Callithrix jacchus: one gene and its partners. The protein of the gene in region 7 purifies or fractionates together with the protein of the main gene of each other region. This does not show direct contact. Links are inferred from orthologs where the notes say so. Each region holds a gene or a part of one and is shown on either strand. Other genes may lie near its edges. The genes, in order: FBXL4, FBXL18, FBXO21, BCORL1, FBXO42, ARB2A and SKP1.

Evidence for each region.
Region 1: the proteins of SKP1 (region 7) and FBXL4 purify together in Homo sapiens (affinity purification with western blotting; 9 studies listed by BioGRID and IntAct, with this or other methods). This does not show direct contact. The link is inferred for Callithrix jacchus from reciprocal best matches to the Homo sapiens genes SKP1 and FBXL4.
Region 2: the proteins of SKP1 (region 7) and FBXL18 purify together in Homo sapiens (affinity purification with mass spectrometry; 3 studies listed by BioGRID and IntAct, with this or other methods). This does not show direct contact. The link is inferred for Callithrix jacchus from reciprocal best matches to the Homo sapiens genes SKP1 and FBXL18.
Region 3: the proteins of SKP1 (region 7) and FBXO21 purify together in Homo sapiens (affinity purification with mass spectrometry; 6 studies listed by BioGRID and IntAct, with this or other methods). This does not show direct contact. The link is inferred for Callithrix jacchus from reciprocal best matches to the Homo sapiens genes SKP1 and FBXO21.
Region 4: the proteins of SKP1 (region 7) and BCORL1 purify together in Homo sapiens (affinity purification with mass spectrometry; 3 studies listed by BioGRID and IntAct, with this or other methods). This does not show direct contact. The link is inferred for Callithrix jacchus from reciprocal best matches to the Homo sapiens genes SKP1 and BCORL1.
Region 5: the proteins of SKP1 (region 7) and FBXO42 purify together in Homo sapiens (affinity purification with mass spectrometry; 8 studies listed by BioGRID and IntAct, counting the BioPlex papers as one, with this or other methods). This does not show direct contact. The link is inferred for Callithrix jacchus from reciprocal best matches to the Homo sapiens genes SKP1 and FBXO42.
Region 6: the proteins of SKP1 (region 7) and ARB2A purify together in Homo sapiens (affinity purification with mass spectrometry; 3 studies listed by BioGRID and IntAct, with this or other methods). This does not show direct contact. The link is inferred for Callithrix jacchus from reciprocal best matches to the Homo sapiens genes SKP1 and ARB2A.

The regions. Positions count from the first base shown.
Region 1 is NC_133505.1:104,970,040-104,974,516, forward strand, and holds the start of FBXL4 (F-box/LRR-repeat protein 4), read right to left. Parts: upstream 2,957-4,477; 5' UTR 2,811-2,956; exon of another isoform or gene 2,344-2,810; intron 1-2,343. UniProt on the Homo sapiens protein: Substrate-recognition component of the mitochondria-localized SCF-FBXL4 ubiquitin E3 ligase complex that plays a role in the restriction of mitophagy by controlling the degradation of BNIP3 and NIX mitophagy receptors.
Region 2 is NC_133503.1:17,027,821-17,031,840, reverse strand, and holds part of FBXL18 (F-box/LRR-repeat protein 18), read right to left. Parts: coding exon 3,775-4,020; intron 1-3,774. UniProt on the Homo sapiens protein: Substrate-recognition component of the SCF (SKP1-CUL1-F-box protein)-type E3 ubiquitin ligase complex.
Region 3 is NC_133510.1:120,185,355-120,189,374, reverse strand, and holds the end of FBXO21 (F-box only protein 21), read left to right. Parts: intron 1-1,446; coding exon 1,447-1,637; 3' UTR 1,638-3,913; downstream 3,914-4,020. UniProt on the Homo sapiens protein: Substrate-recognition component of the SCF (SKP1-CUL1-F-box protein)-type E3 ubiquitin ligase complex.
Region 4 is NC_133524.1:125,714,684-125,719,311, forward strand, and holds the end of BCORL1 (BCL-6 corepressor-like protein 1), read left to right. Parts: intron 1-3,097; coding exon 3,098-3,380; 3' UTR 3,381-3,897; downstream 3,898-4,628. UniProt on the Homo sapiens protein: Transcriptional corepressor. May specifically inhibit gene expression when recruited to promoter regions by sequence-specific DNA-binding proteins such as BCL6.
Region 5 is NC_133508.1:53,659,048-53,663,611, forward strand, and holds the start of FBXO42 (F-box only protein 42), read right to left. Parts: upstream 3,099-4,564; 5' UTR 2,886-3,098; intron 1-2,885. UniProt on the Homo sapiens protein: Substrate-recognition component of some SCF (SKP1-CUL1-F-box protein)-type E3 ubiquitin ligase complex. Specifically recognizes p53/TP53, promoting its ubiquitination and degradation.
Region 6 is NC_133503.1:116,527,349-116,531,884, reverse strand, and holds the start of ARB2A (cotranscriptional regulator ARB2A), read right to left. Parts: upstream 3,146-4,536; 5' UTR 2,985-3,145; intron 1-2,984. UniProt on the Homo sapiens protein: Plays a role in the regulation of alternative splicing, by interacting with AGO2 and CHD7. Seems to be required for stabilizing protein-protein interactions at the chromatin-spliceosome interface. May have hydrolase activity.
Region 7 is NC_133503.1:74,176,521-74,180,540, reverse strand, and holds part of SKP1 (S-phase kinase-associated protein 1), read right to left. Parts: intron 1,958-4,020; coding exon 1,817-1,957; intron 836-1,816; coding exon 800-835; 3' UTR 774-799; exon of another isoform or gene 1-773. UniProt on the Homo sapiens protein: Essential component of the SCF (SKP1-CUL1-F-box protein) ubiquitin ligase complex, which mediates the ubiquitination of proteins involved in cell cycle progression, signal transduction and transcription.

The DNA of each region.
Region 1 (4,477 bases), on a different chromosome or scaffold from region 7:
TTTTCTGCCAGTTTCCATGAAACTGTTAGCTTGCAAGTAAGGTATGATCTCAGACCCTTGACAATTTTTGGCAACGTGATACAGTAAAAGCAGCATTTTAACAAATTGTATAAATTTACTCTTACCAACAACTTTTGAGGAGCACTTTTGCAGAATCTCTCAATTTAACACTTAGGTGTACCTCTGGCATAGCAATTTCATATCTAAGAAAATAAACCAACATGCAAATATGACAGTATACAGAATATAAACACAAAAACGACCTGCAGTTCTGTTTGTAATAAATTTGGAATAACCTAAATGCCAACAGGGGATTGGCTAAATAACTTTTGGGTTATTCCTACAATGAAATAACAAAAAGACTTACAAAAAAGACAAGATACTATTATATGCACTGCCACAGAAGGATGTTAATCAATTATTATTAAGTGGAGGCTATAGAAAATTATACATGTACACTGCCATCTATGAAACAAAGGTAGACTTACACATTTATTTTTAAAATCTGCAAGCAGTGGTAATCTTTATGGAACAAGGTTACTGGGTAGGTGGGCACACAGCACTTTCACTTCCTCCTTTGAGTATTTCTGTATTGCTTGATCTTTTTTAAAGAATGCCTACATTTATTTCATGATCTAATAAGGTTTTTAGGTGTCCATTACAACAACATCTTAAAATGTATATTTAGGATATCCAGTTGGGATGGTAAAATACAAATGGATATTTGGATGTCCGAACGGAACACTTCTACAGCCATTTATCTCTTAGATAACCATTTTTCTTTTAGAAACCAGGTACAGAACATCCTAAATCATAGCTGACTAGGAGACACACTACAGTTATATGATACAGTGCAAAGTCAAAAGGCATGCAGATATTTAATCAGGCTGCTTCTCTATGTAACTGCAAGAAGCAACTCTAGTGTCAAATTCTGAGTGAGCAACACAAGGGATTTATTTATTAACAGTTCATGATTCAACTGACCATGGAAAAAGAAAGCTAAAATAAATGAATCTCAATAACTGGCAAGAAACTTTTAAATGGGGGAGGGAGGCAAGAGGTAAAGAAAGGGAATCAACTTGCCTCCACTAAATGCGTTCATTTCAAAAATATTTAGTGATATCTACAATATGCCAGGCATCGTTCAAATCCCTAGGCATTAAAACACATTACAAACCTAGAGCAATAAGAGCATCACAGAAGCCAGGATCACCATAGGAAGCCAAAGAACACTGCACAACGGTTCAGAAAGTCCCAAGAATAGACGGGAATTTAGGACCTACGGTATTTATAGTACTGATCAGTAGCAAAAAATAGAATTCAACAAATGACGATGGAGTCACTAACAAAATATAAAGTTGAAGCCTTCCTATCTCACACTAAAATATAAATAAGATAATTAACAATACTACAAGAAAAAGGAGGTGGATATACAATTCATGCGGATAAAGGCCTTTTTAAAAGGACACTGAAGTTAGATCAGCGAAGTTAAGATAGAGAATGTTAACCACAGCAAAATTAAGATGAGACTAGTACAGTAAAGAAAGGGGCAGTTTTTGTTAACTGACCATATGTACCATTGCACAGAGTACTATTATTGCATTATTTTATCACAGTGTGAGTAAAGAAATTATCCATGTTACAATGAGCTGATTTCTCTGATTTTCAAGTCAGTAAGAGAAGGGAGGAGTTTGAAAATACAGAGTTCAGAAAAGCCAACATTTGGGACAGAAGTTAAAAAAAGTTAGTACTCAGAACAGAAGTGTAGAAAGAAGAATCCAATTGAAGGAACTTTTAGAGTGCCTACTACAACATGATCCACATTTCCCCCAAGTACTTAATCTGATTAAGGATTATCAGAGCGTTCATGGCTCTGGATAAATCTCTACTCAACCAACAGGTACAATATGCAGTACAGGATAATGGAGGCAGGAAGTGAGCCTGAAAGAAAAAAAATGTATACCTATACCTGAACTTAAGAAACCACGGGGTGCACGCAAGAAGCAGAAAAGGCAACTTGTCTGCAAACAGACCAAAGCAATCAAAGATCCTGCACCTAGTGGTAGTGAGCCCTCTGGGGCACAAAGCCAGATGGGCATGCTGCCAACACAACTACCTGACCACAGGCTTATACCATCTTCACCTTCTACAACAGTTATTTGTATACTGTATTTCAATCTGTGAATGCATCTCGAAGCTTTGTAGTAATAATCACTAGGAAACCAAGGAAATCCAAAACCACCCGTCATAAATATGTTGGCAAGGAGGCCAAGTAGACGGTCATCCTCACACTGAAGGGGCACCCCTAAACCTAAAAACATTAACAAGGTTGTAGCTGGGCACCTTGTGGCAGTCCTGAAGAAGGAAAACATAGGCCTGGTTAGGCAAAAACCATCGGATGTCAGAAGGAAATCAAGGCAGCAGGCACGGGAATCACAAGCACAGGCGGGCATGTGGCCGACGCGTGGCTGCCGAGGCAGCACGGAGCGCGGGTGTGGGCGACCCGCAGTCCTCCGCGGTGTAAACAACCCAGAGCCGCGCACACTTCCGGACGATGCCTCACAGTCTGCGGGCAGAGTGTGGCGGAGAAGCAGCCAGAGGCACGTCAGCAGTTCTCAGCGGCCTCAGCAAGCCCCGCAAGCGCGAAGCCGGGGCGCGAGGGCGCGGACAGGGAGGGGAGGGCAGCGGGGGCCTTTGCCAGGCGTCCAGATTCCCCAAAGCGCAGACTTGCGCCCTGGCTCGGCCCTGGCCCCGCCCCGAAAGAAAAAGGCAGAGACCCACGGGAGGGAGAAGTAAAGGAAGGGCCGTACCCTGCAGGGTCCGGGAGAGGCGCGCGCCGCGGGCTTCACCCGCGACCAGGCGGCGCGAAAAGGTCTGGACGTGGGGGCGGCTCCCCAACTCTCTGGCTGCGGCACAGCGGCGGCAAGCCCGGCCCGGCGCGACCCGGAAGGAAGACGCGGAAGGGGCCGGGGAGGCGGGACGGGGCCGACGTGGGGCGGGGCCTGGTGGCAGGTGGAGCGGAGCCGAGAAAAAAGCCTGGCGTTCCTTCCATGGGAGGTGTTCTGGGCCATAGGGACAGCCCCCTCCCGGGCCAGGGGCGGGAGCTTCCTGCTGGCTTCCCCACTCCATTGGTGGCCGTGTAAAGAGCCTAGATAACCGCAGCGGGCAGTGGCTGCATATCCTCTGCGGAATAATCCCCTCCAAGAACCGACTCGCCTTCTGTAGTTGTCCTGCTAGGACTTCTTCGGTCCAGACTTGGTGAAATCAGGCGATGTATAGGTAATACGAATGGTACGCATACTTAGAGGAAGAGTACAATATCCACTATATGCGCTCAAAAGGTATAATTCCTCTAGTTTACAAACTTCTGCCCTGCGTACAAATCCTGCCTACAGACCCATTTCCAACGTTCAGAAGCGTCTGACCATTACCTCTGATGAAGAAGGTCTGGTAGTCTCTCACTCATTTTGATTTATTTTTGGTAAATTCAGTATGGCACTTTTTTAGTTTGCATCATATTTATCTTGTTACAAAACATCCACTAAGATGAAAAATATTATTTGCTGTCTAAATGTTCCTTATGAGGCAAAACCGTAAGGATATTTACTTATATATGAACAGAATCAATATACAATATGCAGTATATCTTGTATACAAAGAGAAACATTTTTATTTTCTTCAACTTTTAAAATTTTTTATTTTTATTCATGCATAATAGCTGTACATATTTTCATGGTACACATGATAATTCAATTCATTTCTGTAACCAAATCCACATAACTGAATTACTCATTCTCTTAAATATTTATCTTTTCTTTGTGCTAGGAACATTCAAATTATTCTCTTCTAGCTATTTTGACACGTACTATTGATTAACCTTAACCATAATCACCCTACTGATCTATGGAACACCGGTTCTTATTTCTTCTAAGTTTATGTTTGTGCCCATTAATCAACCTTTCTTTATCTCCCCTCACTCTCCCATGCCCCCTCCCAAATACTTCTCAGTCTCTGAGACCCACTTTCTGAGCTCCCACATATGAGTGAGAACATGCATTATTTGTCTTTCTGTGCTTGGCTCATTTCACTCATCATAATGACCTCCAGTTCTATCCATGTTGCTGCAGGTAACAGGATTTTGTGGAGAGTTTTACGGCAGAGTAATTTTCCATCGTGTACATGTACCACATTTTCTTTATCCATATATCTGTTGCATAGATACTTAGGTCAATTCTAAATCTTGGCTATTGTAAGTAGTGCTGCAATAAACATAGAAGTGCAGATATCTTTTCAATATATGTATTTCCTTGTTGGATCTATACCTAGTAGTGGAATTGCGGGATCATATAGTAGTTCTATTTTTAGCTTTTTGAAGAATCTTCACACAGTTTTTCACAGTGGCTCTGGTAATACGCATTCCCATCAACAGTGTACATGGATTCCCTTTTCTCCACATTCTCACCAGCATCTCTTGTTC
Region 2 (4,020 bases), about 57 Mb from region 7:
CTGGGATTACAGGAGCATGCCACCACACTCAGCTAATTTTTTGCATATTTAGTAGAGACAGGGTTTCACCTTGTTAGCCAGGGTGGTCTCAATCTCCTGAACTTGTGATCTACCCACCTTGGCCTCCCAAAGTGCTGGGATTACAGGTGTCAGCCACTGCACCCAGCCATTGAATCAAACTTCTAAAGCACAGAGATTCTGAGAAGTCTCCCATCTGGTTCTCGAAACCCAGGATGCCTGGGCCAGAGCATGAACAACCGGGCCACTCCCCAAGCACGGAGCCCTGCGTTGGCTTGAGCTGAGAATCCAGTTGGCAAATCCAGGCCCTGGCGACTCCAGCAGGCAGGAAATAAAGAGGCTTTAGCGATCTGCTCTGTCTTTTGAAGTCCTGGGTTTAATCCTGGGCTTCTCACCCCAACACTAACAGGTCTGCAATGGGAGGCCAAGAAGAAGGGTGGCACCCAGGCTGACTGCAGGGCCCTCGAAGGCTCCAAGGTGTCAGCCTCGAGCTCTGTCGCTCCCGAGCAGACCCAGCCACTTCCGGCCATGCCTTCTGCGGGAGAGTGGAGATTTATAAGGACACCCTTATCTCTGCTCTGCATGGCTCCAGGGCCAAGGTCAAGCACTGGCGTCTGCAAGAGACTCAGCTCCCCGAGCTCCCACAGCCTCATGTGGAAAATGGCAATGGCTGCAACCTTAACAGATTGTGGTGGGGATGATGGGCTGAGGGCATGGCTCTCAGCAAATGCACAAAGTGAACGCTAACAATTGTGGGGACAATGACACGTGCCCGCATGTCCCCTTAGGTGGAGGTATGACTTCACGTACCCACCACCCACCCCACTAGCTAAGGACTCATGGAGACAGCAGGTCACTATCTAAGCCCTGCCCCCACTGTCTCCCAAACCCGAGTCCCTTATAGCACTGAGGTTCAAGGCCTTCACTACCTTTTGGGTAATTTTTTTTTTTTGAGAGACAGAGTCTTGCTCTGTTGCCCTGATTGGAATGCAGTGGCATGATCACAGGCAGCCTCGATCTAACCTCCTGGGCTCAAGCAATCCTTCCACTCAGCCTCCTGAATAGCTGGGCCTACAGCCACGAACCACCAGACCCTGCTCATTCTTTTATTTGTTTTGCAGAGTTGTGTGTGGTCTAGCAATGTAGCCCAGGCTGGTCTCGGACTCCTGAGCTCATGAGATCCTCCACTTCAGCCTCCCAAAGTGCTGAGATTACAAGTTTGAGTCACTGCAGCCAGACCACTCTGGGTAATTTTTCTTGTCTTCTCTATTCTTTTCTTTTTGAACGCCTCACGCTCTCACCCAGGCTGGAGTGCAGTGGTGTGATCTCGGCTCACCAAAACCTCTGCCTCCTGGGTAAAGAGCAATTCTCCTGCCTCAGTTTCCTGAGTAGCTGAGACTACAGGTGCCTGCCACCACGCTCAGCTAATTTTCGTATGTTTTTGGTAGAGACAGGATTTTACCATGTTGGTCAGGCTGGTCTCCAACTCCTGACCTTAGGTGACCTGCCCAACTTGGCCTCCCAAAGTGCTGGGATTACAGGAGTAAGCCACCACACCCGACCCCATTTGGGGTCATTTTTCATGATCGATTTATCTGCCAAGATTTCAAATGCCTCTCAAGTTAACAAATTATTCCTTAAATGCTGGGAACTGACAAGAATACTGTTTGCTCCACAGCATAATCAGCATAAATTCATTTTGTGCTTGGCTCTGGAAATGCCATGGGTCCCCAACACTGTCTGGGGTAGAGCTCTCCCAGGCCAGTGGTTCCACCTCTTCCCCGCTCTTGGATGGGTCCTGCTGCTAGTCCCAGGGACCGTCACCTCCCAGGAGTCTGTGGTGCCCCTCCTGAGCCAACCTCTCCCATCTCCTACATCCTGTCCCCTACAGCCCATGTGGGATGCCCAGGATGCCGCTCCCTCTCCCGGGTGAAGGCCCTCAGCACTGTCACCACCTGCCTTGTCCACCCCATCTTTCCCACTCCCTCTCACCTCCCATTGTCCCCTGGACCCTCTGACCTGACTGCTCTCTGGCATATTTTCAAGTCTCTGGGCTTCCTTCACATGGTGCTTACTGACCCAGGAAGCCTCTGCCCTGCCAGGCATGGTGGCTTATGCCTGTAATCCCAGCACTTTGGGAGGCAAAGGCAGGTGGATCACCTGAGGTCAGGAGTTCAAGACCAGCCTGCCCAACATGGTGAAACCCCATCTCTACTAAAACAACAACAACAAAAAATAGCAGATGTGGTGGTATACACCTGCAGTCCCAGCTACTCGGGAGGCTGAGACAGGAGAATTGTTTGAACCCAGGAGGCAGAGGTTGAAGTGAACAGAGATGGCACCACTGCACTCCAGCATGGGTGACAGAGTGAGACTCTGTCTCAAAAAGAAAAAGACAAAAAAAACAAAGATGGAGGCCAAGTGCAGTGGCTTGCACCAGCACTTTGGGAGGCCAAGGTGGAGGATCACTTGAGCCCAGGAGTTCGAGACCAGCCCGGGCAATACAGTGTCTCTTCAAAATTTTAAAAATATATATATATAGCCAGGCATGATGGCATATGCCTGTAGTCCCAGCTACTTGGGAGGCTGAGGCAGGAGGACTGAGTGAGCCCAAGAGGTTAAGGCTGCAGTGAGCTATGATGGTGCCACTGCAATCCAGCTTGGATGACAGAGCAAGACTCTGTCTCAAAAATAAATAAAAGTAAAATTAAAAAAAAAGAGCGGGGTGCGGTGGCTCACACCTATAATCCCAGCACTTTGGGAGGCCGAGGCAGGAGAATCACGAGGTCAGGAGTTCGAGACCAGCCTGGCCAATATGGTGAAACCCTGACTCTACTAAAAGAATAAAAATAGGGCCGGGCACAGTGGCTCACGCCTGTAATCCCAGCACTTTGGGGGGCCGAGGCGGGTGGATCACAGGTCAAGAGATCCAGACCATCCTGGTCAACATGGTGAAACCCCATCTCTACTAAAAATACAAAAAATTAGCTGGGTGTGGTGGCGCATGCCTGTAATCCCAGCTACTCAGGAGGCTGAGGCAGGAGAATTGCCTGAACCCAGGAGGCGGAGGTTGTGATGAGCCGAGATCCCACCATTGCACTCCAGCCTGGGTAACTAGAGCGAAACTCCGTCTTAAAAAAATATATATATATAAAATACATATAAAATAAAAAATTAGCTGGGCGTGGTCAGGAGGCTGAGGCAGAAGAATCACTGGAACCTGGGAGGCGGAGGCTGCAGTGGGCCAAGATGGCACCACTGCACTCAAGCCTGGGCAACAGAGCGAGACTCCATCCCAAAACACAAAACAAACCCAAAACCTAAAATGCAATTAAACACACACACACACACACACACGCACACAAAGAATTGCAGTCAGGTCAGAAAGGCCTGGGTTCGAATCTTAACTCCCCACCTACTAGCTCTGCTGTGTGGCAACAACCACAAGCACCTGGTAGGCTTGTGAGAGGATTAAGCAGGATGACTCACAGTAGGGCCGGGACAATCACTCAAACACTATCAGGAGTGAGGACGCTAAGCTCAGCCATCCGCCTCCTTCCTGCACCCCGGGTTCCTCTAGATGCCGCTCTCCCCAGAGCCCCCTGAGCCAAGCATGGGACGCGGTGAGGTCCCACCCCAGCCTCTGCACTCCTGGAGGACAGGCCTGTGGCAGGGCCGCCTCCAAGTTCCACGACAACACACTTCCCTCCGCCAGCCTCCAGCAGAGGCCCGGGAGGTCCCCGCAGACCCCCTCACCTGAGGTCCCTCAGCCGCTTGCAGTGCTTCAACATGTCCGATAGCGCGGGCATGTACACCACCTTCCCCATCATGCCCAGGTTGGCCAGCGACAGGGACCGCAGCTGCTGGCACTGCAGGCCAATACTGACCAGCCCGGAGCCCGTCAGGACGCTGGGCAGCTGTGCGAGCGTCAGGTGCCGCAGGAAGGCCAGCTGGCCGATGGCGGCCACCTCCGAGTCCCCGACGCTCTGCGCGCGGCTGCAG
Region 3 (4,020 bases), on a different chromosome or scaffold from region 7:
GGATCAGGGGCCATACCCACTCTTGGGCCAGGCCTCCATGGCCAGCAAAGAAGGGCTCACAAAGCACCATCCTTTAGCTGTCAGGATCTCAATTATTCTGGGGAGGTCGGGAAGCATGTGAAAGGATTTCAGCTTTTTAAATACCTTTTTTATTCTTTTGAGACGGAGTCTGGCTCTGTCGCTCAGGCTGGAGTGCTGTGGCACAATCTTGGCATACTACTGCCTCCCAGGTTCAAGCAGTTCTCTGCCTCAGCCTCCCAAGTAGCTGGGATTACAGGCACCCGCCACCACATGAGACTAATTTTTGTATTTTTAGTAGATGGTGTTTCACCATGTTGGCCAGCCTGGTCTTGAACTCCTGACCTCATGATCCACCCACCTCAGCCTCCCAGAGTGCTGGGATTATAGGCATGTGCCATTGCACCCGGCCTTTTTATTTTTTTTATTTCATTTTTACAGTCTTTTTTTTTTTTTTTGAGAGGGAGTTTCGTCCTTATTGTCCAGGCCAGCGTGCAGTGACACGATCTCAGCTCACTGCAACCCCCGTCTCCCAGGTTCAAGCAATTCTCCTGCCTCAGCCTCCTGTATAGCTAGGACTACAGGCATGCATCACCATGTCTGGCTAGTTTTTTGTATTTTTAGTAGAGATGGGGTTTCACCATGTTAGTTAGGCTGGTCTCAGACTCCTGACCTCAGGTGATACACCCACCTTGGCCTTCCAGAGTGCTGGGATTACAGGCATGAGCCACTTCACCGAACCTTATATTCTATTTCTCTAGTGGCAAAATTTCTCTGCAGAGAACAGGAAGAGGAGGTAGCATGATTTTCCCAAGAGATGTACAGATAATAACAGCTGATATCCACGTGGGATCTGGAGGTGCAACCACCTTCCATTCAACCCTGGTCTCACAGCAGCCCTGGAAAGAGACTGCTCGCTGTTGGAAGCCCAGGGCCAGTGCTGGAAGGAGCTTGGGTGGAAAGTGTGGTCTGCGTGAGGGACTCCTGTGATAGAGGAGAGTGGTAGCAGGTACAAGACTTGTCACCACGTGACGTGGCAGCTTCAGAAACTTAGCCACTGCCAAAAAAGGAGCAGGCAGGGATAATCTTGTCCCATTGTCCAGTCAGAGAGACCTAGTGAGTCTGTTGTTTGCCAGTTCCTAAGAGACTGTTGGAGTTTTGCTGGAGCCAGACATCCTGCTCAGAGATTTGGAAAATCTGCTGTTCTGTGGGGAGCTTTTGGGGAACCCATACCATGGCCCACATTCTCGTGATTGCCACTCGCTGCCCTTTTCCCATTACCCTCTCCTGGCTCCATAAACATCTTCAGCCTTCCCTTCTACATCTCAAAAATGCCACTTGGAAAAGGTGATGGGAGGTTCTCTGGATAAAAGGTGCTGTAGAAATTGACAGTGTAATGAGAATGCCCATGTGCCTCTTTACCAACAGAAAATTTGGAATATAACGTGGAGCCTCAAGAAATCTCACACCCTGACGTGGGACGCTATTTCTCAGAGTTTACTGGCACTCACTACATCCCAAACGCAGAGCTGGAGATCCGGTATCCAGAAGATCTGGAGTTTGTCTATGAAACGGTGCAGAATATTTACAGTGCAAAGAAAGAGAACATAGATGAGTAAAGTCTAGAGAGGACATTGCACCTTTGCTGCTGCTGCTATCTTCCAAGAGAACGGGACTCCGGAAGAAGATGTCTCCACGGAGCCCTCGGGACCCGCTGCACCAGGAAAGCCACTCCACCAGTAGTGCTGGTTGCCTCCTACTAAGTTTAAATACTGTGTGCTCTCCCCCAGCTGCAAAGACAATGTTGCTCTCCGCCTACACTAGTGAATTAATCTGAAAGGCACTGTGTCAGTGGCATGGCTTGTATGCTTGTCCTGTGGTGACAGTTTGTGACATTCTGTCTTCATGAGGTCTCACAGTCGACGCGCCTATAATCATTCTTTGTATTCACTCCATTCGCCCGTCTGTCTGCATTTGTCTTATAACATTTCCTTGGCTGGACAGATGGGGTTATGCATTTGCAATAATTTCCTTCTGATTTCTCTGTGGAACATGTGCAGTCCCGAGTGAGGACTGTGTGTCTTTTTACCCTGAATTTAGTTGCATATTCAGAGGTAAAGTAGTGTGCTCTCTTGGCAGCATCGTAGAGACAGAGACATTAACAATCTAATGGTAATTAGAATCATTTGAATTTATTTTTTTCTAATACATGAAACACAGATTTGAAGTGTTTATCTTTTTTTTAAAATTTAATTGGGAATATAACACTTTCCCTTCCATATTTCTCTTGAGTTTATGCACATCTCTATAAATCATTAGTTTTTTATTACATAAAATTCTTTGAGGAAATGCATAACAGTGAATTTTGTGAATGGATTTTTCCTTACTCATCTACAATTCCTCCCTTTTAAATGACTACTTTTTTAACTTAAAAAATCTACTTCAATATCAGGAGTAGGTCTTAAATCAGTGATGGGTTCTTTTTGTAGTAAGACATAGAAATCTGATGTTAAATGTTTGCTCTTAGAAGTCATCCTCCCTGGTCTCCAAAGACCAAAAAATGAGGCTTCGCTTTTGTGATCAGGAAAAAAAAAATTCGTGAACCTTAAAAAAAAGTTTCTGAAGGTAAAAAAAAGTGGTTTCACACCTGTTATTCCTTAGAGTCATTTCAAGGCCTGTTCGAATGCAGCAGGTTAGAAAGAGAATGTCTTTCATTTGAAGAGTGTTGGACTCGTGGGAAAGGAGATGTGCTTGTTGTAATCTGCTTTTCCAGGCTGCCAGGGTCCTGACAGCAGCAGGACGAAGCCTGTTTTGATATCTTCTGGGAAAGCCTGACTATGTTCAGACAGTCCTGGCTCCTTCCCAAAGTTCTCAGTAACTGAGCCCGGAGTACCTACCTGCATGCCTTCATGCAGCTCTGGAGCTCCTCCTCCTCCCGGCCTGCCAGTTCTCATGTGAGCTAATCTTGTCATTAATTGATAGACGATAACTTCTGGAGTTAGGACCTAGTTACTTTGCTCTCGACTTTTAAAATAATGCAGTTGCTCTAGTGAACGGGGTGTTAGGGGCCTGTCTGTGCGCCTGTCTGTCCATCTGCATGCAGTATTCTCACCCATGTTGAATGACTGCTGCCTGTTTACCCTTTGGAAACCCTGAGGTGACCGAGGAAAGCCACCTGAGACCACTTAATAGCAAGGGAAGGCTTTAAGCAGTTCCTAGAAAGAGATGGGGATTTGGCCCCAGCTCCTCTAGCCTGAGTTAGCTGTTATCCACTGTCCACGTTCCTTATGAGTTCAAATCCAGAGTCAAAGGATTTGAACCTGCATTTGGAAATGTGACCACTCACAGCGCCTGGCCCACTGAGGTTGGGAGGATTGTACACTACTCTCATTTAAAGGGGAAAATTAGATAATATGGAATTAATATTAATGAGATGCATTAATAAGAAACTGTGAGCATGCTGAGAGTTACAGTTGTTGGTTTTCTGGTTTGACTGATTTCCTTTTTTCATAGAAACATCAAAGCCAAGAAAGATGGTTTACCTTTACTCACCCAACTGTAAATATGTATCTAGACTGTTTTTAAATGTGTTTCTTCATGACTGCTTCATGGGGCTCCAGGAAGCCTGTATCACCTGTGTAAGTTGGTATTTGGGCACTTTATATTTTTCTAAAAATGTGTTTTGGATCCTGTACTCTAATAAATCCTAAGTTTCTTTTTAAAAATTTTCCAAAACTTTTCTCCATTTTAAAAAGCCCTGTTATAAAAGTAGAACTTTCACAATGTTAAAATGTTAACTATTTGGATATAGCAACTTCTTTTCTCCTCAAATGAATGCCAAGATTTTTTTGTACAATGATTAATAAATGGAACTTATCCAGAGAAACCACTCAAATGGACTGCCCAATTTCGTTTCAGGACAGAAAGCCCAGCCACTATGAGAGTAGAATGTCTCTCACCTCTCTTCGGCTCTAAATATGAAAAGTATGCTCTGCTGAAATT
Region 4 (4,628 bases), on a different chromosome or scaffold from region 7:
GGTGGTGGGCGCCTGTGATCCCAGCTACTTGCGAAGCTGAGGCAGGAGAATCAGCTGACCCTGCGAGGTGGAGGTTGCAGTGAGCTGATATTGCCTACTGCACTCTAGCCTGGGTGACGGAATGAGACTCCATCTCAAAAATAAAATAAAATAAAATAATCCAGTGAACCAGCATGATATTCACAGGATAGGGAGCTGAATGGACAATGGATTAGGAGGTCTTTAAGTAAGAGCCTCTGTTTAGGGCTCTAACCATTACACCACAGTTTCTTTGCATTCCCCCCACCCCACCAACCCCCTACACACACACACACACACACACACACACACACACACACACACACGGCCTGATCAGAATAAAAATAGCGTATATGATGGTACTAGTAGAGATCAAGTTTCAGGGGCTTTTGGTCCTTATTCTTCTGGGCATAAGCTGATCCCTGAGGGCAAGGAGGGGCCTCTGGGATATAGTGTTGCATGGTTAATTAATTCCTCCGATGTATTCAGCACCTCTCTCTCTGAAATAGGATCTTGGGCTTCAGGCAGTAAAAGGACCAGGGTAGTCTGCATTAGGTGCAGACAGAACACGGGCCACCGAGGGCTGCGTGCCCCTCAGTGAGCCAGTGGCAGGCACGTGGTTAGCCCAGAGCCCAGTACCAGCAAAGCTGGTTTTCCTGACATGACATCCTCCAGCGCTCCTTCTAGAGCTGCCCTTCCCCACAGCTGCAGCACACTGTGAAAATGTCTGTTCTTGAAGAAGTTGGGGGTGGGGGTGCTAGTGTAGAATGATGCCTCAGAGGCCCTATGGCATGCAGAAGGACCTTCTGAATCACCAAAGCAAGACTGAATTCTCATTACTAGTGTGCATGTTTTCAGGGCTTTTTCCCATTCTTTGGAAGTGATGGTCCAAGTGTGTGCTATCTGTCTAGTCCCCTTTTCTTAACCCAAAGCGCTCCATTTCCTATTCCTGTGAGATAAGAACTTGCTGTCATTTGGGAGTAATGTTGCATTTTAGGGATAAGGATCGTGGGTCTGGTTAGATGTTTAAGGCACTGGAATGGAACATTTGATTCTATAAACATGTCTTCAACAGCTGCGCCAGGTCAAACCCTGGGGACCAGAACTCAGCTCTGGCCTTCGAAGAATTCACTGTCTAGTGTAGTAGACGAACAAGTATATAATTAACCCTAATCAAAGACAAAATGTCCTAATCAGATTCATTGTAAAAAAACTCCAACACTTTCAGAAGGGTGTCAAATGCAAAAAGTTCCCGTCCACGCTGAGCCCCCATTGCTATGCCGCAGAGTGAACCACAGTTTAAGGTTCTTTTGCAATCCTGTCAGAAGTGGGCTTTGTTGATAGTATTACAATAGGGTTGTGAATCAAATGCCACGAGACCACGGGAGATGGAGGAACAATGAGTTACAAGTGGGGAAGGTTTCACAGGTGATATGGTATCTCCCTGAGCTGGGCGGGGAAGGAGGGAAAGATGGAGAGAGCAAGGCACTGAAACATACAAATTCAGAAAGTAGGGGGAGTCTTTTATCATGTGACCGGTGCTTGCTGGGATGGGAGGTAAAATGTGGGGTATGTGTGTGTGTGATTAAGTGGACATTGGGCTGAAGAAGTTGGAAGATCTTTTTTTTTTTTAGATGAGGTTTCTCCATGTTGGCCAGGCTGATGTCAAACCTCCTGACCTTTGGTGATCCGCCCACCTCGGCCTCCCAAAGTGCTGGGATTACAGGTGTGAGCAGAAGGTCTTATATAATAATATCATGGTAGTGGCCAGACATGGTGGCTCACTCCTGTAATACCAGCACTTTGGGAGGCCGAGGCGGGTGGATTACTTGAGGTCAGGAGTTTGAGACCAGCCTGGCCAACATGGTAAAACGCCATCTCTACTAAAAATACAAAATTAGCCAGGTGTGGTGGTGCATGCCTGTAATTCCAGCTACTCGGGAGGCTGAGGCAGGAGACTTGCTTGAACCCAGGAGGCAGAGATTACAGTGAGCTGAGATCTTGCCACTGCACTCCAGCCTGGGTGGCAGAGTGAGACTCCATGTCAAGAAAAAAAAAATCATGCAAAAGAATTTAGAATTTTTCTGGAGGCACTGGGGATCCACTGCAAGCTGTTTAGTGAGGGAATGGAAGGTCAGACTTTCTTTGTAGAAAACTGTAATGGTAACAGATGATCCAATGAGGGTGAGTAGGGGTGCAGAAGAGTGACCCCTGGCAAAGGGAAACCAGTTAGGAGGCTGATAAGCTGGAGCCCAGGCCAGAAGTGGCAAAGGCTGGAGCTGGGGTCGTGGAATAATGAGGAGGGCAAATTCTGTGAACTGGGACCACTAACGTGGGGAGGCAGCATTTCTTCCTGCATTAGTCAATGTAAGCATTTGGCCCGGGACTGGCCTCTCCAGCACCCCTCCCAGCTGTCCCCAGGCTGCCACCCAGTCGAGTGTGCTCAGCAAAGTCAGACTCAACTCACTGTAATGTGAGCTCTGGCCCTGCAGAAATGATGGTGCTGCTGCCGGAGAAAAGAATTGTCTAATGCATTCCAGAGCCAAAGAGAAATGCCTTTTGGATTACCCGCAGTTTAGGCCTTTCTCCACGGCTCCCCCTCTGCTGGGGAAGATCATGGAGAGCAAGGAGGCCAGGGAAGTGAGAGAGAACTGGAGAGAGAATCCAGCCGGGCTGGCAGGGGCGGGAATGCCGGGAGGGGGAAGACCAGTCCCAGCAAATGGTGAATCCCAGGTCACAGGGTGCAGGCTAAGTCCCCAGGAAGCCCACTAGAGTTTGAGGTTCTGGAAGGCCCCTTTCCCTCCTGCTTGTGTTATTTCGGAAAAGATCGGTCACGGATTGAGTGCTCACCGTTTAGCTGAAAGCCGGACCAGGTATTGCAGGGGACAGAAGACATTTGCCTCAGCCGTACCCAAGGAGCCTGTGGTTTACCAGGCGACAGGGGAGCCAGACTGGCAGTGAGTTATAATGGGAGATGAGGGTGGCCGCACAGCCTTCGTGGGCTTTGCAGGGTGTTCTGGGTCGGTGCCCCCACTGCTGCCCCAGCCTCCTTCCATAACTCCCATCCTTGTCTTTGCAGGCCCTGCAACTGGTTTCTCTTTTCTGATGTCTTGAAGAGGCTGAAGCTTTCCTCGAGGATCTTTCAAGCCCGGTTCCCGCACTTTGAAATCGCCACCTTGCCCAAGGCTGAGTTCTACCGGCAGGTGGCCTCCAGTCAGCTGCTGACCCCTGCCGAGAGGCCTGTAGGCTTGGACGACAGATCCCCCCCAGGCTCCTCTGAGACTGTGGAGCTGGTGCGGTACGAGCCAGACCTACTTCGGCTCCTAGGGTCCGAGGTGGAATTCCAGTCTTGCAAAAGTTGACCAGGAAAACAGCCCCTCCTTTTCTTCTTTCTCCTTCCGAGTTCACCCTTCCCCCACCTCCCTTGTCTTTCCCCCACCGAGCACCAGACTGCAGAATGAGGCAATAATACGGACCAACAAGAAGCCGCCTTATCAATGCCAGCATTAGCGACTGGACTGTTTTTGTTTTTTTGGTTACAATTAGTTCTCATCTCCCTGTCGTCATCATTGTTGTCGTGGTTGGTGATGGGGGTGGAAAGCTGAACTCCACGTCTGAGGACAAGAGGTCCCAGGGGTGGTGGGAGGTGTCGCCGGGGTCCCTTGGACTGGCCTCCTTGTATATGACCAAGACCAAACCTGGGCCCTGGGTGGCCTTGGCCTGTCCCAAGGAGAAATGAGAAAATCCCCGATCGCTGAGCGCCCCCCCAACTCCATTCCCCTGTGTTCTTCTGTCTTCTGTAGTATTTATTTGATTAGTATTTAATTTGTACTGTTTCATTGGTTTCTGAGAAGTCTGTATCACTGTGACGATTTGAGACAACTTGTTGTTCTGAGGGACTTTCTTTACCTCCTTCCTTTTTCTTTGTTGATGAGCTCTGACAAAGCTATTCCCAGGTGGTTCCCCCCCCCCCACTGGGGTGGGGTGGGGTGGGGGGGACATGAACTTGTGACTAACGAAGCTAGCTGCTGCTGGCCTAGGGCTGGGGGCTTGGGGGTAAATCCTGAGGCTTTGGTGCTCCCCCCCGCCCCCTTCCGCCCTTTGCAGCAGCCCCACTATCTTGAGATTAGTGTTGACAGGGAGAGGAGGATTGTGGGGCCAGCGCTTAATAAGTGACTCTAATAAAGGGGTGTGGAGAAGGGATCTGAGGGGTGAGGGTGCCCCTCTTCACACCTTCTTCACTGCCCCCCTCTGAGTGCACAATATGAGTTTGTTCCTGCATCCTTTCCCCAGTGCCCCCACTCCCCCAACCTCATTCTGGCCTCCCTGTCTCGAGATACTGAGCCTCTCACCTCCCAGCCCTCGGCCCCCCCATCCCTGCCCCTTCCTAGACTCGCAGCACCCCTTCCTTCCTCTCCTCCCCACTCCTCCTCCCTCAGACCCCCATTCTCCTTGGGAATCTGCAGAGGGCTCTGAGACTGACTGCCAGATGTGAAATCCAGGGGTCAGCTATTCTAGGCAAGGGCAGGAAAGGGATCTCTAGACCTTGCTCCTCTCCTGCCTGGGGACCTGAGGTTGAGTGGTGGCCCCACCTGGCCTCCCCCTGGCCT
Region 5 (4,564 bases), on a different chromosome or scaffold from region 7:
ATGGAGTTTCTCTGTTGTTACAATAGCACGATCTTGGCTCACCGCAACCTCTGCCTCCTGGTTCAAGCAATTCTCCTGCCTCAGCCTCCTGAGTAGCTGGGATTACAGGCGCACACCACCATGCCCAGCTAATTTTTGTATTTTTAGTAGAGACAGGGTTTCACCTTGTTGACCAGGATGGTCTTGATCTCTTGACCTCGTTATCCACCCACCTTGGCCTCCCAAAGTGTTGGGATTATAGACGTGAGCCACCATGCCCAGCCTCAGTGCACTTCTTACACTATACAGAACTTAATGGCTTTCCTTGTCTACCTCCCAAGCCATACTGTCTGCAACTTCAGACCAAAAGCTGTCTTATCTGTCTTATCTTACAGTTATTAGTACCTACTTCCCAAAACACCTGCCAAACAGAGGGCCTTTATTCGGTAGCTCATAAATAGGAATAATCAATTTTATATTTACCTTTTATTTTACATTTTACAAAGCACTTTCACAAACACTGTCTTTTTTGACCCACATTAACAATCATGGGAAGGGCTTTATTTAATCAAATGGCTTCTGGTTTTATAAACAGTTACTTCGATGACTAAAACAATCCTGAAATCACAAAGATAATTACATGTTTGTTCATCTTTGAGATAGCTTCTCCTTGGGATCTCAGTGTTCTCATAAAATTCATGTTTTGCTAGCATTTTCTTTGCTTGCTCTCGATAATAGGTAGGACTCATCCAGTTCTGAATCTGAAGGGTTTAAACTTAATAAAGCAATTATTAAAGACCCTTCTAGAAACCAGACAAGAACAAGCATCCTAAGCTACCTTTTTCTGATCCTGTTCTTTTTGTAACTGAGTAAGGTAAGGAATTGCAAAAGTCAAAATCTGGAGAGCAAATGATGTCATGGATGTCACGCAGTTGCATCAATAAGTGATGATGATTTAGCATAACAGTGCAACATATTATGCCAAGAAGCATAATGATGAGCCACCAGGATGTTTTACTGCATTAATTTCATGACTCTTTATTAGTGAATTGATATGCAAAGTAGCTCTCCAATTTTCTACCACAGAGAAGCTGACAGTTCAGATTTACATCTTTAGCAAAGACACTAAGAAAATCGACAAATTTCTACGGAAAAGTCTGATTTAAAAATAGAAAAGGAGGCTGGGCACGGTGGCTCAAGCCTGGCAAAGGTGGGGTATTGCTTGAGACCAGGAGTTTGAGATCAGCCTGGGCAACATGGTAAAACCCCGTCTCTGCTAAAATTACAAAAACTAATTAACTGGGCGTGGTGGTGCACGCCTGTAATCCCAGCTACTCAAGAGGCTGAGGCACGAGAATCGCTTAAACCCAAGGGATGGACGTTGCAGTGAGCCGAAATCATGCCACTGCACTCCAGTCTGGGTGACAGAGTGAGAGACTGCCTCAAAAAAAAAAAAAAAGGAGAAAGAGAGAGAAATGGTCAAATAATAACCGAAACAGTTGTCATTTCACCAAGGAAAATCTTTTTAAGATATACAGCATGCCCATGGATCAATGTGGATTGAATAATGCATTTATATTGGCATGTCAAAAGCAAATAGTTAAAATAACATACAATAGAAAAGACACCCAATCAGATTACACACATGAATACACTCAAAGTTAGCAATTAAACACAGCAACACCAATGTTCATAAGAGCTATAGACTTATTTCTAAATGTTCAATTGTAAATGATGGTACTTTCCAAATTTTCCTTCTCTTTAAATCCATGACGTCACCATTCTTAAGCACAAGTAAAGCCAATGTGTTACAAAAGGTATTTTGGTGTGTCCAAGCAAAAGCAATTGCCTCAACAATTCCCCACAGCACAGTCCAATGAAGCCATCATTCCTCAAGGAAGAGGCCACAAGGCTTCAAAACCGACTTCCCTACATGAGAAACACAAAGTCTCCCAATTAGCATTTAAACAACAACAAAAGTTGTTCTCCAAAAGGAACAAGCATAGTTACAATGTTGCTGCCGGCAAGTGAGAACTGGTAAAGCGTCAGATCTTCATCTAGATCCATCAGAATCCCACCACAGAAAAATCCAAAGACTCTGGCAATTAAGAAATGAAGCCTTTATTTTCCTAATAAAAGTCGGGAGATTTAACAGACAAAGCAATTGGCTATTCTGAATCTTAACAATCCGAAGGTTTCAAACGAATTCAACTGGCGCTGAGGTTACCCTGCAGAGACCATCAAGATCTCACAATTGCTTTCTCTTCGCTTACAAATTCGTTCCCACCCTCCACCGTTCCCTTACCACACACAATTCTCGCCAAGAGAAGTCTTCCACAGTCACAGCATGGATTGCTGTCTCAAGCAAGGAGATCCGCAGTTTCCATTTCTCTAGGGGAACACTCAACAAGCTAGGGGCTAGGAAAGGCCGCTTATTTTATTTCACGAAAACCAATTTCCAAATTATCCCTCTGCAACTGCAGCTTCAGTGATGCTGGCCCCCAGCCGCAGCCCCAATTTTGATGGGCACCCGACTCCCGGCTCCTCTCTCGCAAAGAAGTAAAAGGTTCGGAGGCCCGATGAAAGATTATCTGACACCCTAAAGCCATCCTTGCTCGGGCCACACATCCCTTCACTGCCCGGGTGAGGGGACGAGAATCACCCTGCTGGGGAGAGAGGGTGGGTTCGCTCCCAACCCAAGGGCTGGCTGGAAAGGAACTCTCCTCCTCTCCTCCTCACTCAAGGACGGCGATAGCAAGGCGCCCTGCCCAACCAAGACCGACCCCTGCGCGGGATGCGGGACCTGCGCCAGACCAGGGGCGCCCGCTGCCCCTTGCCAGCCCCGGGCATAAAGGGCAGGAGGCGCCAGCTCCCCATCGCGGCCCCGGGAGGAGGAGAGGCCTCACCTGGCCCAGCCCGCTCCAAGCTCTCGGGTTCGCTCCGGTGGCGACGGTAATGAGGGAGCCAGGGACAGGGCCAGAGCAGAGGCGCTGTGCCTAAGGCCGCGATAGCCGTGCTCCGGGCTCTTCACAGCTGGCGGGACCCCAAGCCACCCAGAGCCGCCATCTTCCTCCACTCAAACCCCGCCGCCGCAGCTGCTGCTCTAGCCGAGAGAAGACAGAGCAGAGCGCGCATGCGCAGGGGCGGGCACGAAGGACACACGCGCGCGCACTCACGTCAACGCGGCGGGCCGGCGCGGGGCGGCTAGGGGGCGGCGCCATATTGAGAAGGGCTGTGGCTACAGACCAAGATTCTGTGGAGGATGGAATCTTCCGGGGGTGCGAAGCTTCCGCACCCGTCTTCGCCGCGTCTCCAGCGTCGACCTCATAGCCGCACCCACCCTCCGCTGCAAATGTCTGGAGCACCTGGGTGGTTTTCCCTGTGATTTGAGACCAACCTTTAGCCAGGAATTAACTAAGTTCTACCCCGAGGGCCCGATGAGCACAGAGGTGGCGGATGTAAGTGCCCCTGGACATCCCCACGGGGAGGGAAACTCCGCCTGAGGTGTGCAAGAGAAGCCTCCCTTAATCGTAGTAGCCTTGTAGCAACCACTGTGTGAGGTGTTTTACTAGCTCCACTTTTCAGATGAGGAAACTGAGGCACGGAAAACGATCAGTTATTTGTCCAGAGCCACACACCTAGCAGTGGAGGTGGGGCGGCGCGGGAAACATAGGATTTAAACTCGGGCATGTAGGATTCCCAAGTTCCTTTACATCCTACTGGCTATCACCAAGGGATAGATTCCAGCAAAGCCCCCTCCCAAGGGAGCAACCTGGTGTGTAGGTGAGAACGAACCTTCACGAGCTTAGCCCTACATACAGCATGTGGTCTAAGGAAATGCCAGATGGAGTCAAGGGCTTCAGTCTAAACTCCGTAAGCAAAAAAAAAAAAAAAAAAAAAAAAACTAAGCCCCTCCCCACCACCACTACCACCACACCAAGCATTCTGAATGGACTTTCTCCTAGGCCAGGCCAGAGAGGTAAATTGACCAGGGCAGTCTAAATTTAACATGGTTCAGGCCATGACAGGAAGTGGGGGTCAGACATGCCTCATTATACCCTCCAGCACTAACATCAACACAACAGACCTTAAGACTGATTAACAATTGCAGGCCGGTTGCGAGGTGGCTGACACCTGTAATCACAGCACTTTGGGAGGCCAAGGCTAGCAGATCACGAGGTCAAGAGATCAAGACCATCCTGGTCAAAAAAAAAAGGTGAAACCCCATCTCTACTAAAAATACAAAAATTAGCTGGGCATGGTGGTACGCGCCTGTAGTCCCAGCTACTCGGGAGGCTGAGGCAGGTGAATCGCTTGAACCCAGGAGGCGGAGGTTGCAGTGAGCAAGAATGTGCCTCTCTACTTCAGCCTAGGCGACAGAGCAAGACTGTCTCAGAAAAACAAACAAGAGGCCCGGCGCGGTGGCTCCCAGCACTTTGGGAGGCCGAGGCGGGTGGATCACGAGGTCAAGAGATCGAGACCATCCTGGTCAACATGGTGGAACCCCGTCTCTACTAAAAATAGAAAAAATTAGCTGGGCATGGTGGCGTGTGCCAGTAATCCCAGCTACTCAGGAGGCTGAGGC
Region 6 (4,536 bases), about 42 Mb from region 7:
ATTGGAGGTTTTACAATTATAGAATCAAAGAGTTAAAAAGCAATAACAGATATGGTGGCTGCCTTCTAAACCCTTAAAAAGTCCACCAAATAAATCTCCAAAAATTTTTATTAAATCATATCTTAAAATGAATTCATAGAACTCCAAAAATATATACCAGTGGTCAAAAAGTAAATGAAAAGATGCTTAACATCAGCAATCATTAGAGAAATGTAAATTAAAAACACAGAGAGATACTACTTTACACCCATCAGGATGGCTATTATCAAATAACCAAAAAAATGTGTTTGGCAAGGATGTGGAGAAATGTTGGTGAGGATGTGCAGAAACCAGACTCCTTTGCTTTGCTGGTGGGAATGTGAAATGAGGTGGCTGGTGTGGAAAAGTGTGTCAATTCCTCAAATATATGGAGACATATAAAATGTCCATGTGATCTAGCAATTTCCCTTCCGGACAGATATCGAAAAGAAATGAAAGCAGAGATTTGAACAGATATTTGCACTCTCATGTTCAAAGCAGCATTATTCACAATAACCAAAAGATGGAAACAATCTAAGTATCCATGGACAAATGAATGGATAAACAAAATGTATTAACAGCATACACACACAATGGATAATTGTATTTCACCTTAAAAAGAACATTCTGATACATGCTACAACATGGATGAACCTTGGAGACATTATACTAAATGAAATAAGACAGTCACAAAAGGTTAAATAGCGCATAATTCCACTTATGTCAGACACCTAGAGTAGTCAAATTCATAAGAGGCAGAAAGTAGATTGGCAATTATCAGGGGCTGAAGGTAACAGAAAATGAGGTGTGAGAGTTTAATAGGTATGAAGTTTCAATTACGGATGATGAAAAACTTCCGGAGAATGAGTGAAAAGTAAAGTCACTCCATGACTACTGTGCAAACCCAATCTGACTCTAAAAACAGAGACAGTGCAAGTTGTATAAAACTGAGTAAATAGTGCTTACTTTTGTTAGAGCTCAATGAAGAGCGTGGAAACATCTCTACATATCTACAGAAGCCAGATTCTCCTCAGGGGTCTGTCTAGGAAAGCTGAGAAAAATAAACTGTAAATAAATAAAATCCCTCATGCACCCAAATTACGGAATATTGTTGAGATTGCTGCCTCCATGCCTACATTCTTGCTATTCCAAAATATATCAAACATGCTCCTGTCTCTGTGCCTTTGTACTAGGCCAACTAATTCCCCAGATACTTGCAGAGCTAACTATCTCACTTCATTCATATCTCTACTTAAATGTTCCCTTATCAGAGAGGCTGGGACTGACCACCCTATCAAAATGGCATCCTCTAGCACTCTCTTTCCCCTTAATTTGCTTTATTTTTCTCCATACCTCTTTTTTTTTTTAGAGAGGGAGTCTCACTCTGTCACCCACGCTGGAGTGCAGTGGCCTGATCTGGAGACATTGCAACTTCCGCCTCTCTGGTTCAGCAATTCTCCTGCCTCAGCCTCCCAAGTAGCTGGGACTACAGGCGCACGCCGCCACACCCAGCAAATTTCCTGTATTTTAGTAGAGATGGGGTTTCACCTTGTTGTCCAGGCTGGTCTCGAACTCCTGAGCTCAGGCAATCTGCCCACCTCTGCCTCCCCAAAGTGCTAGGATTACAGGCGTGTGCCACTGCACTCACCCTTTCTCTATATCTCTTAAACACTACTTGTTAAATATTTGCTTGTTAATTATACCTCTCCATCAACTAGAATGTAAGCTCCAGGAGCAAAAGGACTTTCTATTTTGTTCACTACTGTCTTCCCATGACCTGAACACTATCCCGCACACTGAAGGTTGCCAGAAAATATTGGCTAAATGAATAAACACGTGGATGCTCATGGTTTCATAGATAATATTTCCCCTTTGGCCCTGGTACTATTCTACCATATGCAGCAGTCATAGTCTGAAAGCTTCCTGAGCACCCCCAACTTTTCTGTGTAGGCTTCACTGGCTAAGTAGAAGTAACAGCTAGTTTAAAAGTCTAAAAGAAGCCTGGTACCAGCACTGTCACTGGGGCCTTAGAAAAGCAGATCCAAAAACACTCTTACTAGGTGTCTACATTTGCTAAATGTATACAGTGTAACTGTCCCTCGCATTGTAGGATAAAGCCCTTATAAATGTGATATTTATTATGCACTATATGGCATGTGTTAATACAAACGATGTCATGTACTGCATTAAAAAAATCGCATTGGTATTTTCATAAACATACGAGGCACTTGCAGACAAAATCCAGAGATTTTTTCCCTCTACAGCCTTTTTGAGGACTTGGGAGAAACGGACAAATTCAACAACACTGCATGTCACTAAATACAGTATATCCAAAACACAAATAATGAGTTTCTTGGCCCAGCAGACTTATACCGTGGAGCACTATATGTCAAATACCTGGATGAGGGAAAGAGAAGACTGCTTCCAAAACATACTTACTTTATTTCAAAGTCAAAAGTATTCGACACTTAATTCATACTGCATCCCAGAGAAACGTCCCACCTGTGCTCATGCATGTTACAAGTTTTGAGAGCATTTTATACTGCATTTTCATCCACCTGCAGTGAATGACTTCTGGTAAAGCGTTGGCGGTTAATAACACTTTTTGTAGGGAAAAAAAAATTAATCAAAGAACCACAATAACTCCTCTTCCCAGAAAGCGGAGGAGGGCCCATTACTCTGTCTCCAGGGACTCCCAGAATCCCATACGCCCAGATATAAGGAAAGTCATCCAGGGAACACACGTGTCGCTCCCGCCTGGGGGGTGGAAATGGCACATGGGACCTGCCCATCAGCGGGGGCCCAGGCACAGGTCAGAGGTGTCCGCAGGGAACGCAGCGTGGTTGTGACAGCCTCGGGCCCCAGGACCAGCGACTCCCGCCCAAGACCGACCCAGGCCAGCCCCCTCCTCGGATTTCGACCCAGGCCTGCCCCCGGAGCTCACAACCCCGCAAACGCAGTCCTACCTGAGCTCTGCCCCCAGCTACAGGGCTGAGGGGGCAGGCGGGAGGAGGCGTGGCCTTCCAGTTCGCCAGTCGAACTCCCTCGTGCGGTTGTTATGACTTTCCCTCTCGGGATCCGCGCCCCGACCAAGTTAGAGTTGCACTTCCGGGGTCTGCAGGAGACTGACACGTCATTACGCACGCGACGGCAGCGGCGAAGACAACCCGGAAATAGGCGGGGCGCGGCCCCCGGGTTGGTTCTGTGGTGATAGGTGCGCTGAAGAGAGTGGCCCGCTTGAATTAAATGTAGACCTTTTGTGTAGTGTTGCTCTCTGCTCGCCCTTCCTTATTAAGGCTGCCTGGGTAGCCGTAGCGGACGACGCCACCCTAAAACCTTGTTCTCCAGGCGGAATTTTAAAAACCATTCTGAGGATGGCCTTACAGCCAATTTCCCACTCCCCACTGACAGTGTATCTGACTTTACCCTGCCCATTCAACTCCAGAAAAACCGGGAGGTCGAGATTTGGAAGATAAAATTTACCTTCGAATTGTGACATGTAAAACAGGAAGTTAATGCTAGCATGCTAATGACAATTGAAAGTTTTCTCGTTATCATACTTGACTCAAATGGAAATCTTAATGGATATTAATGTTTTTTCCAGAAACAGATTTGAAAGGTATTTCAAGGGTACATCTGTGGGGAGGGATGGGAGCAACTGATTTTTAATTTTTGGATACTACCCTCAGCGTATTTAGTCCAAAACTGTTAATTTAATGAATTAGGCTAATCTAGATGCTTGGGGCAAAAGCTGAGTTAGACCTCCTCTCGTCTCAGGCAGCTAAGTAGAAGGAAGGACTGGTGGCTGACAAGTAAACCAACAGTTACGATGTTCTTCAAAGAGGAGATCCCAGACTCTCTATACTTCACTCCCACATAGTTTTACTTCTTAATCTCTACTCCTTACTTGTTTCCTTCATAAAAGTACAATGCTATTCATTTATTTATTTACAAATGTGCCCTGTCCCACTAAAATGTAAACTCATTGCTGGTAGTGACCTTGTTTTTCAAATGTGTCTTCAACCATACAACAACAGTGCATGTCCACAAAGTAGACAATATTTATTGAAAGACTGAATGATCACAGTGGTAAATACTATTTTGGGGAAATTTAGAAAAGTGTACAAGATCAGAGAGACAAATGATATAAGTGGTGGGAGATAAGGAGCAATGTTCCCAAGAAGGAAGAGAATCCACTGGAGTTAGCCAGGACTGAGTACCTGGATGAAGCCTGGGCATTGTGAGACTGTTAGGGCTTCATTTCTGGAAAGAACTCAAATGGTTTGTAGAGTGACATTTTATTCTGAAGAAAGCAACAACCAGATTTTGAAAAGCTTCCTATGTCGTGCTGAGTAATCTGATTTTCTGCTGCAGACAAGTGGGGGAACTGAAGGATTGTTGAACAGAGGAGGGAAACATTTTTATTTTCTTAGACTTTGGCAACAGTGACAAATTATATTAAAAAGATAAGGTTCCCTCCAAATATATAATCCCTGTTTAACCATGAGAAAAACATTA
Region 7 (4,020 bases):
ATATTTTAATGTTAAAAGTTAAATTATTTTTACATGCAAGTAGTGTGAATAATTTTCCCCACATGGGAACACTGATTATAAAAAGATGACATCCCACATAGGTTAAGTGTCTTTAATTGAAAAGCTAACAAACTGTCCAGTTACATTTCTCCCAAAAAACCACAAACTGTGTAGTAACTGAGTCTCTAGGCAATATATTTAAAGCTAAGAGGATTAAAAATAAAATTAAAGAAAAAGAAGACAAGTCCTCAGATGCAATGAAGGGAGGAGCCCTGCTAAATACAGGCTAATCAATATGGTGGTACTCCTTGCCTGCAGGAGGCTGAAAGACATCCTAGTAACTCCACTCAGAACATTTACTTCAAGAAGCCTTTTGCAGTTTCCAACTCATGAATAAAGATAATATTTTGTTAATTCTATTCCAGATAACTTTTTTGCAGGTTGTTTTATTTACAATGCCAACTTTTAAAAGGTCACTAAAGTTAACTGGACAATAAACTAGGCAGACACTGCTTTACAAAAAAGAGGGAAAGCCCAAAATGCCACTTATAGAGAACCCACAGTTCAGTTTTATTCAGAGCAAAGAAAAAAGAAACTTTCAATCATATTAGAAGAAACTCAGCCATAGATTTGGAATCTGTACTCAAACTACACATGCAATGAGGACAATATTCTGCTAATACAATTTACTTACTGCTGCATTTGTCTACTGTTTGTCTAATATTAACAATTATAAACAGAGCAGTGCAACTAGTACTTGGAACGATCCTTACAGTGTTACAGTGTCAGGCACAACATTTCACTTCTCTTCACACCACTGGTTCTCTTTGCGTACCTAAAAGAGATGGATATAAGGAAGTACCTTAACTTTAGTAGTGTTTCCTAAGACTTAAATATACTACCTACTGATTCATCGATAGCCAGTGAGTCAGTAGAATAGATGGAAAATCAGAACACCAGACTGAGACTACACTTCTGGATTTCCTTTTTTTGCCTCCCAAGGTTTTTATTCTGCCCTGCTGAAATTCTGAACAAAATAAAGACAATGGGCAGTTTACTAAAGTTGACAGAGCAAATTCAGTTAGTTAACTGACACAATTTCAGTCTGTAGTCATGTCAACAAAATCATTCTGATCTATTTTTTCATTTCCTCCCCTCATTAAGTTGCTCTCAAGTGCCCTAGCATACACTTCTCTAGGGCCTGCTTTTCTGAAGTCAGATATGTATGGTCTATACAAAAAGCTGCAGATGCCAGAACTAGTAACTGTTAACACATTTACAAGAAAGAGCTCCTCTTGTTGAAAACTAATTGTTCTTATGCTTAAAAATGCAGTATCGGCCGGGCGCAGTGACTCACGCCTGTAATCCCAGCAGTTTGGGAGGCCGAGGTGGGTGTATCACGAGGTCAAGAGATGGAGACCATCCTGGTCAACATGGTGAAACCCTGTCTCTACTACAAATACAAAAATTAGCTGGGCATGGTCGCACGAGCCTGTAATCCCAGCTACTCAGGAGGCTGAGGCAGGAGAATTGTCTGAACCTATGAGGCGGAGGTTGCGGTAAGCCGAGATCGCGCCATTGCACTTCAGCCTGGGTAATAAGAGCAAAACTCCATCTCAAAAAAAAAAATGCAGTATCATGTAAGTGTTTAGACTCATACAGACAGTACAGTAAGAGTATGTTTAAGACACAGAAACTACCTAGTATCCCTCAAGTATCAAGACTACTTGATACAGTCACCTCTTTTCTGGTGTATTACAGGCTTTAGTCCCTTTTTAAGAGCATGCGATCAGAGACAAAACTGTGTGCCACCTACCTGGGCTTCCTCCTCTTCAGTAAAGTCATTTTTGATATTGAAGGTCTTGCGAATCTCCTCAGGAGTTTTCCCCTTGATCATATTGGCAACAGTCTTGCATGTAACATCAAGCAAACCTTTGATGTCTAAGTAGTTTGCAGCCTGTAAAGAGATAGTTGTTTTCCTTAAAGTATACTTGATGTTTTAAACTAAATCTAAAGTTAATGATTGAAACTCCATGTCTAATAAAGCTTAAAATGATAATTTTATTAAAGGGAGAAGAATAAATCACTCATAAGTTCCTCCATGAAAGACTTTTATGTGACCTTTGTTACATCTCTATGATGCTGAATCCTTCTGCTTCCTTAACCAAACTGTATTAGCTCAAATGTTAATGGCCACTACTGTTGTGTATGTGTGTACAGACACACATCAGATCTTGACAAATACCACATCAGATCTTGACAAAAATATTTGTCCACACTTAAAGAGTTCAATAAGCAGTTATAGCATTATATTTAGTGATCTGATTTTTAAAAACAGGTTTTGGTTTCACTGACTTTATTACCTATTTTCTATTTCACTGATTTCTGCCCTTATATATTCTAATTCTTCTGTTTGCTTTGTATTTAATTTCATCTTTTACTAGTTTCTTAAGGTGGAAGCTTAGATCACTGATTTGAAACTTTTCTTTTCTAATAATATAGGTATTTCATGCTATCAATTTCCCTCTAAGTATTTCTTTTGCTGCATCTCACAGATTTTTCATGTGTTTTATTTCTATTCAGCTCAAAATACAAATTCTTTTTATTTCTTCTTTGACTTACAGGTTATTTGCAAATGTGTTAGTTTTAAAGAAGCTGCAGATTTTTCCAGTTACCTTTCTGTTTGTGATTTCTAGTTCCATTGCAGAGAACATACTTTGTATGGCGTAAATCCTTTTATGATAGAGATTTTTCTTTTTGAGACACCGTCTCACTCTGTCACCCGGCTGGAGTTCAGTGGTGCAATCTCGGCTCACTGCAACGTCTGCCTCCCAGGTTCAAGCGATTCTCCTGCCTCAGTTTCCCAAGTAGCTGGAATTATAGGTGTGTGACACCACACCCAGCTAATTCAGGGGTTTCATCATATTGACCAGGCTGGTCTCAAACTGCTGGCCTCAAGTGATCCACATGCCTCGACCTCCCAAAGTATTGGGATTACAGGTGTGAGCCACTGTTCCAGGCTGAGACTTGTTTTATGGCCCAGAACACGGTCTATCTTGGTAATATACACTTGAAAAGGATATGTATTCTGCTATCGTTACATATAATGTTTTAGGCCAGGCACAGTGGCTCACACCTGTAATCCCAACACTTTGGGAGGCCAAGGCAGGTGGATAACCTGAAGTCAGGAGTTCGAGACCAACCTGACCAATGTGGTGAAAGCCCGTCTCTACTAAAAATACAAAAAATTAGCTGGGCATGGTGGCAGGTGGCTGTAATCTCAGCTATTCAGGAGGCTGAGGCAGGAGAATCACTTATCTCGGGAGGAGAGGTTGCAGTGAGCAGAGACTGCACCACTGCACTCCAGACTGGGTGATGAGTGAGACTGTCTCAAACAGATACATAATATATAGATATAGATAGATAAAATGTTTTATAAATGTCCATTAAGTTGGTCAATAGTGTTATATCAAGTTATCATGATTTCTGTCTACTTGTTATATTAATTGAGAGAGGTACTGAAAGCTCTATGACTGCAAATTTGTGGACTTCTTTGAGTTCTTCTGGGTTTTGTTTCACTTCTTGAAATTCTTCTAGGCAAATAAACATTTATGATTGTTATGTCTTCTTAAAAAATGGATCCCCTTAACGATACAAAATAATCCCCTTTAACCCTAGTAATATTCTTTGCCTCCACATCTATTTTAACATAGTCACTCCAGCTTTCTTTTGATTCATGTCAGTATAGTTTACCTTCTTTCATTCTTTAAACCTAGGTGTGTCTATTTCCTTAAAGTGGGTTTCTTACAGACAGCATAGCTAATCTTGCTTTTTTGATCTGTTAATTTCTGCCTTTTAACTGTGTTTAGACCATTTACATTTAGTGTGTTACTGATATGTGGATTTAAATATGGCATTACATTTTAATTCAGAGTATTAAAATTCAGTGTCAATGAAGTTAGCAAATTTTAAATCTGTAAGAAGTAATATTTAAAGGCTCTGGAATAGAGCTATTTTATA